Kluyveromyces lactis: one gene and its partner. The protein of the gene in region 2 interacts with the protein of the main gene of each other region in a pairwise test. Links are inferred from orthologs where the notes say so. Each region holds a gene or a part of one and is shown on either strand. Other genes may lie near its edges.

Region 1 (3,908 bases), on a different chromosome or scaffold from region 2:
GAATGAGGCAGTTCTGGTACAGTTTCTGCAGGTACATATGGTGGATTAAAGACAAGCAGGTCGACCTCATTTTCCCTTATTGAAGACGTAAGGTCTGTTTGTAATACATCAAAATGGCTATTCTTGCAACCATTCTTCGAACAAGTGTCTAAGGTAGCGTCCAATGCCCAAGGGTTCAAATCAGTTGCCAAATAAAGTCCATTGGCGTTTGGTATACCATTTTGCATAAGAAACGTAGAGACTATCCCAGAACCAGAACCAATTTCTATAGTCAATGGTACTGCGTCATTGAACCTGTTATTCAACCAACTCAGATCAGCTTCTAATGCATCTAATAAAAGAAAAGAGTCCTCGCTTGGCTCGTATACTTTATTATAATCATAAGAGACGTATGGTGTAGCTAGCATCGCCCTGTTATCCTAAGCCCTGATGAGCTATAGCTCGCATCAATATCTGTTCTGCACCTGTATCTTTTCAAACATGGAAGTCATCGCATATATAATATTGTATTTGAAAAGTTGATATTGAACAATAACGTATGCAAAAGGTCATCTAAAAGAAAGTAATTAAATTGAAGCTTAACAACTAGTCTACTGTTTGATACAACTATTAATCACCATTTTCAGAGAATCGACAATCAGTTGCTTGTTTGTGGTTGAGAAAGATGCAATTAAAGGTCAAGACATTAACAGGGAAGGAAATCTCCGTAGATGTTCAAAGTTCAGAAACGGTCTATCATATCAAAGAGCTATTAGAAGAAAAAGAGGGTATTCCACCATCACAGCAGAAGTTGATCTTCCAGGGCAAACAAATGTATGTTAATTAACTGATAATTCAGAACTGAGAAGAGTTTGATATCAAATTAATGTAGGGACTCTTTTACTAACTAGTAAGTAATGCTATCTTTAAATCAGAGATGATAACGCAACAATCGGCAGTGCCGACTTGCAAGATGGATCTCTTTTACATCTTGTTCTAACTTTAAGAGGCGGTTGTTGAGAGCCATGTGTCATTGCATTGCGAAACCTCAAGATACGTATGTGTATAAGTATTTTGCAGATAAATACCTGGAGGAATTACTCTGCATTTAATAAAACGACTATAATTATTGGAAGCTAACACTATGAATGACATAATTTACATTTACACGACCGTCCAATTATCAAACAAAGGAAGGATGTAACACATGCTTGTTGCTTTTCCTTGTATGCATGAATGAACCTTATAAATACATAATGATTCAGATATCAAATTTAGTGCGAACATTATAATTGTAGAAACAGATGAACTTAACGACAACGATGCAAACAAAAGTAAGAAAAACACGGATAACTTACCTGACTATACTGTAACATGGGTGACAATAGTTTATCCAATGAAGCCATCACTGCCGATAATATTTTGAAGGATGCCTTTAGCCAAAAGAAGCAGATTGCAGCTACTACGAAGGCAGATATATTAGATTTGGAAGAACTGAAAGACTGGCAACGAAGGAAAAGAACAGAGTATGAGACAGTTTTGAAAAGAAATAGGTTAGACCTTCGTCAATGGATGAGGTATGCTCAATTTGAATTTGATCAGAAAGATATACGAAGAGCTAGGTCCATTTATGAACGCGCTCTTCTTGTTGATCATGGGTTTATTCCACTATGGATTCAATACATCGACAGTGAAATCAAATGGAAAAATATCAACCATGCAAGGAACTTGTTAGACAGAGCAACAAACGCTCTTCCTCGTGTTGATAAGCTCTGGTTCAAATATCTTTTATTGGAAGAATCTTTGGGAAATCAGGGTATTGTACGAGGCATTTATACAAGATGGTGTTCATTTGAACCTGGTCCCGATGCATGGGACTCCTTCATCGAGTTCGAAACAAGGTGCTTGAATTTTGAAAATGTCAGGAACATTTACTCGAAGTTTGTTCTAGTCCATCCTCAAATAGATACCTGGTTGAAATGGGTTCGTTTTGAACAAACTCATGGAGATATATCATCCGTACGAACAGTGTTCTCATTCGCGCTAGACACACTCACAAGTTTCAGCGGAACACCACTGGTAGATATTGAACGAGTTATTGGTAGCTTCGCTTCCTGGGAAGCTTCTCAGGGAGAGTATGAACGATCTAGAACGTTATACCGACTAGCAGTTGAAAGATGGCCAATTTCTGAAGCATTAAAGGAACAGCAGATTCAGTTCGAGAAGAAGTTCGGCTCTTCGAAAAATATGGAGGACATAGTAATCGCTAAAAGGAAAGCCGAGTACGAGCAATATCTAAAATCAGATCCCTATCATTATTCTACTTGGTGGGTCTATATTGACCTGGTTGAGGAAAAATATCAAGAGCAATTGACATCAGCTTTCCAGTCGTTCATTGAATTGGCAAAGCCGAAGTCCCTGGTAAAGGATTCGAGCTGGAAGAGGTACATAAGAATCTGCGTACGATACTTGGTCTATCTAGAGCTCACCATTAATGATTTGCCTACGATACGCTCGGTTTATCAAGACATCCTCGACATCATTCCACATAAGAAGTTTACATTCGGTAAACTGTGGATAATGTATGCAGAATTCGAAATTAGGCAGAACAACTTGCTGAAAGCAAGAAAAATTCTGGGTGTGAGCTTAGGAAAGTCCCCCAAGCCAAAAGTGTTTAAATATTACATCAATTTGGAGATAAGGCTAAAAGAGTTTGATAGAGTGAGAAAGCTATACGAGAAATACATCGATTTCAATCCTAGTTCAGTGCAATCATGGTTGGATTATGCAGAATTAGAAGAAAATTTAGGAGATGAAGATAGATCAAGAGGGATCTATGATATCTCCATGAGCAATAATGTTGGATTATCTGAATCGGACCAGCTGATTGTCATTCAGCGCTATATCGCTTTTGAAACTGATGCAGCAGAATATGAAAAGGCTAGAGAGTTGTACGAGAAGTATTTGATTTTGAGTAGATATGACGTGAACATATGGATAAACCAGGCGCTTTTCGAGAGCACTATTCCAACTGAGACCCAACTAATAGCCTATCAACAATCTCATCAAGACGGGAATTTTGACGACGATGGCGAAGAGGAGTTCAGTTTTGAAATTACACCTGAGAATAAGCATCACACCAGGGCTATTTTTGAGAAGGCAATTTCATATTTCAAAGAACATAATGAAGATAAGAAACGCCAGCAAGTTTTACAATCTCTCCTGGAGTATGAGAAAGTTCATGGTAATCAAGAAACTTTGGAAAAGGTCAATGCTAGACAACCAAGTTTGGTTAGGGAAAAAGTTACTATCGATAACATTGAGCAAGAGTCATATAAATTGGATTTTCCGGACGATCGTGTTGCTCAACCTCCTATTGCTCGAAATCTTCTAGCTTTGGCAAAACAATGGGAGAAAAATTCCAGCTGATATGTAACTTTATATTCATATACAGATAATACAATTGTAGATTTAGAACACGCATTTAATCAGGTTGGCATATAGGCTATTGAGAAAAAATACGAATTGTATTAATTATTCGTTTCATTATCGGTAAAACTTTGTGGCAACTGGTTTGACGGTATCGAACTGGGTGTTGATATCGTAGAAGGGGTAAGCCCAGGTGCATTCATTGTCGGTACAGATCCTGGGGGCATTAATCCTGGAGGAACGTTGCCTGGTGCTGCTGCCAATCCTGGTGCTGCCAATCCTGGTGCTGCCAATCCTGGTGCTGCCAATCCTGGTGCTGCCAATCCTGGTGCTGCCAATCCTGGTGCTGCCAATCCTGGTGCTGCCATTCCTGGTGCTGCCATTCCTGGTGCTGCCATTCCGGGAGGAGATAAACCTGGGGGTGCCATTCCTGGAGTAGCAATATTTAAGTTTCCTTCAGTGATACCTATTCCAGACGTTGAATTTTCTGCAGCCAGAGA
Region 2 (4,014 bases):
AGCTTCTACTTGTGGGCCAGATTGTTCTTCTTGTTCTTGTGTGTCGGCAGCTTCTACGCCAGTTTTGGTCGCTTCTTGAGAATCTGGTTTACCTTCAGACTCAGCATTTGCTTCATCTAATTTCTTCTGCTTCATTTCAGCATCCAACTGAGCAGTTTGAATCTGTTTCTTTTCTTGCACTTTCTTCAATCTATAAAACTCTTCTCTATCCAATTCGTCTAGCTCGGAGTTGATATAAGCAATGGTGTTTTCCGTTCTTGGAATGATCACATGTTCAATGGCATTCACTCTACGGTTGGTAACTTTGATAACTTCGTCCAAGATAATGAAAGCCGTTTGTAACGAAGCCAATTCAACTAGTGTTTCAACAGCCCTTGAGTAAATTTCCTTAGCACGCTGAACTTGTTGACCACCACGACCTAGACCTGTCATTTTGAAGTCGTTGATGTTGGAGTCGATGAATGATTCAAATTGAGGCAAGTACACACCACTCACGTTTTCTTGCGTGGCCCTAACTTTGAATCTTGCATTGGCAACATTCTCTTGAACTTGGTACCCTATATTTTCACCTGTAGCATATGTGACCTCCGCCAAAGAGAACGCAGCTGTTTGCATCACTCTGCCCATCTTCTGCTTTGAATCATCTATTCTTTTAGTGATATCACGGAATCTCTTCGTTAATGCTTCAGACTTTCTCTTCAACAAAGAATAACCCTGATTAGCACCCTTTAACTTAGTCTTCATAAGACCCAAGGTCATACGAGTGGGGAAAACCTGTTCCCTATTACTAGACATTTTTCGATAAAATTCAAGATGCTAGGAGTGAAGTCGTTCCTTCCTTGCTGTAATATGTTATCAGTACGCTTAGTACCAAACTCACCTGATTGGTACAGTAGAAAAACAGTTCTTTTCAAAGAAAAAGCAAACGATTACAAGTAAATGTGTTCCAGGTTGGATACTTGTCAGTGCCAGCCTAATTGCAACGTTCTGCCCCAGCTGATATATGCCCCCCTTTTCTACCTTTCTTTCGTCAAATGATTGAATGTCTTATATTTCAGATATTTTGAAAATTGGTTAATTTCGAAATTTAGATATTATTTCATTTACGGTGATATGTCAAAACGTTTAATGAGATGAGTTACAATTAAAGCTCCATCTAAGGTAAAGTTAGTGCACTGTTTTTCCACCAGGTACTGCGAGAGACATATGTTTCGATGGAAATAGATAAATTTGTCAAGGAGGAAGATATTCCGTTTGAGTATGGTGTTGTTAGAGAAAGAGACAATGCTGTATCATGGTCGAGATATTTGGCAACTAAAAGATCAGCAGGCGATGAGTTGAATTTAGATTGGCTATACGAACGTTGTTTGAAGGAGATCAAGGACGACTGGCATCTATGGAAAGAGTTCTTGAAATGGAGGATAGAATTATTGAACGATTGTGATATTTTCAGGCACAAAGATGAATACAATAAGATATCGTTACTATTCGAACAGTGCTTAACATCATGTGGCAAAGTTGGGGATGCATGGATTATGTATATGGAATGGGTAATACAGTTTAAGGATTTGAAGAGGATTAGAGAACTGCTTGGAAAAGCGCTACGATCAATGTCGTGGGAGTACCATGAAGCAATATGGCGTGTTGTCATCGATTTCATTATCAATGAATTGTTAATAGACAACAAGAGGTATGAACTTTCTTTAGAGGATTCCATCTACTATTTTGTTCACGGAGAGCATTCGACGAATTTTGATACAGACCTCTGGTCTTCCTCAATCCTACAGAGATATTCACTTATTTGTGACGACATAGAGCCTTTATTGATCTACATTTTTAAGACTCATGATTGGAGCACGATCGTTCGAGTATTTGAAAAACATCTATCACCTAATTTAAAGCCATCTCAGACAAGTTTATTTGAACTTTACGTTAGTTACATCACTTCAATGATTCTTGTGGATAATTCAGCAGGGGTTGCTGCGGTAGTGGACCAATGTATCGAATTATTCCCTTTCAAGAAGGGTGAACTTAAGACATATTTGATATTTAACCTGATACGTCAAGGAAAAATAACGGAAGCTGAGCTGTACTTAGAGAAAGTTATAAGCGAAACTAAAGACATTATCGAATTTTCTGTATTATATGATTTTTGGATTCGTATGGAGGAGCTATTGACCCAAGAATTAATTCAAAAGATGAAAGACGATAATTCAGAAAAGCAACGGCTGTTCGCAAATATAAGACTACATGCCGACACTCTAACCTCATTAATAAAAAACCACACTATTAGATTAAACGACTTAGAATTGAGGCGAGAACCCAACAACATCAAATTGTGGCTAGAACGAGTGAAGCTTTTTGATACCATCTCTGATAAAGCTAAAGTTTATGCAGATGCTGTTCTTACCGTGGACTATAGACTTCAGACTACTCCAGGGCTATTAGGAGAATTATGGTGTCAATATTGCAGACTTTTTGAAGAGGATATTGAAAAATCCGAGGTCTTGCTGGACAAAGCCACTAACGTCCCTTTCAAATTTTTAGTAGATCTTGAAAATGTTTGGTTATATTGGTGTGAATACAGACTAAAAAGAAGCATTGACGATGCCATAAAAGTTTTGTCCGTTGTATTAGAAATACCAGATAATCATGAATTACTCCTACAAAAATTTGAGAAAGGAGAATCGCCAGCACAAGCAGCAATTTTCTCATCTAAACGCTTATGGGCAATGTACCTTGACTTATTGGAGGTCAAAGGAAACTATGGTACAGCTGTAAATGCGTATGAAACAGCAATACTCATCAAGGCAGCAACACCAGCCATGTTTATTAATTATGCGTTATTAAATGAATCTTCTGGCCATCAAGCAGAAGCTTTGGCTGTTTTCGAAAGGAGTGTTGAGATTTTTCCTCCAAGCGTATCGAAGTCTATTTGGGATATATATCTGGATGTGGCACTCAAAGCTGATATCACTAAAGAGCAAAAAAGAGATATTTTTGAATCTGCTATTAAGCTTGCAGCTTCAGGAGTGGCATGTGTTTCGTTCTTTGAAAAGTACAGCGACTTTGAGTTAAACCTTGGTTTCCACGAGAGAAGTGTCGAGATTTTGCACAAAGGAGCCAAGAATATTTCGGATCTTGAAAGTAAATGTACTTTATGGGAAGAATGCATCAATAGAAGTGAAAAACAATTGGACGTCAATCACACCAGAAAACTATATGAAGAATGTATAGAAACATTGCCCAATTCTAAAGCAATCAAGTTTCTACTTCCATTTGCTATCTTAGAAGAATCGCGTAATGAGGTTGCTCGTTGTAGAGCATTGTTAGACTACGGGAGCAAATTACTGAAGCCCGCACAGAATGAAGAACTTTGGGATTTCTGGAGGAATTTCGAAACTATGCACGGTACAAAAGACTCGTTCAAGAACATGCTAAAAGCACGTAGGTTCCTAGAGGACACAATGAAAGTAAATACAGAGGAAGTATCCAGACATGCAGATAGCATCGAATTTAGGGCGTCAACTGCGAAAATTAGTGGAAGCGGACCACCAAGCGCAGAAGATAAAGGATACTCAAATACGGCTGAAATTGATTTAGGTCTATAAAATGGATATATATTGATTAAAGTTGATAATGGCATATCGATCAATCTCTTATGTTTTGTTTTGGAAGATGTCGTATTGTCTTTCTTTGATGACGTGTAACATACAAAAACACTAGTATCTTACTGTTTTTCGACCCAATCAGTTGAACTCATGTGGGATAATCTACTTAGGGCTCTTGCAAATGCAAACCGTTCTTCATCTAATGCGAAAATCTGTGCTTTTTTGGCAATATCCTTAGAAAATCCGTGTTTACTGACCAATTCATCCTCTACTTCAGGTTCATCTTCATGTTTCATTTGATCTGCTGGTTTAAGCTCATAGTCGTTGACAATATCTTCTGGTTCCACGAATAGTGAGGTGAAGTCATCTGCACCAGTGGTAGCTAATTTACCACCGTTATCGT

What was found. The genes of interacting proteins can lie anywhere in the genome.
Region 1: the proteins of SYF1 (region 2) and CLF1 interact in binary tests that used the Saccharomyces cerevisiae proteins (3 or more experiments, as listed by UniProt). The link is inferred for Kluyveromyces lactis from reciprocal best matches to the Saccharomyces cerevisiae genes SYF1 and CLF1.

Annotation. Positions count from the first base shown.
Region 1 is NC_006042.1:1,644,239-1,648,146, forward strand, and holds CLF1 (Clf1p), read left to right. Parts: upstream 1-1,353; coding exon 1,354-3,408; downstream 3,409-3,908. Other genes in the region: MTQ2 (S-adenosylmethionine-dependent methyltransferase), read right to left, coding at 1-407; NEDD8 family protein RUB1, read left to right, coding at 665-813, 915-999; mRNA splicing protein MSL5, read right to left, coding at 3,510-3,908. UniProt on the Saccharomyces cerevisiae protein: Involved in pre-mRNA splicing and cell cycle progression. Required for the spliceosome assembly by promoting the functional integration of the U4/U6.U5 tri-snRNP particle into the U1-, U2-dependent pre-spliceosome.
Region 2 is NC_006037.1:178,055-182,068, reverse strand, and holds SYF1 (mRNA splicing protein SYF1), read left to right. Parts: upstream 1-1,214; coding exon 1,215-3,611; downstream 3,612-4,014. Other genes in the region: VMA8 (H(+)-transporting V1 sector ATPase subunit D), read right to left, coding at 1-795; AFG1 (Afg1p), read right to left, coding at 3,731-4,014. UniProt on the Saccharomyces cerevisiae protein: Involved in pre-mRNA splicing and cell cycle control.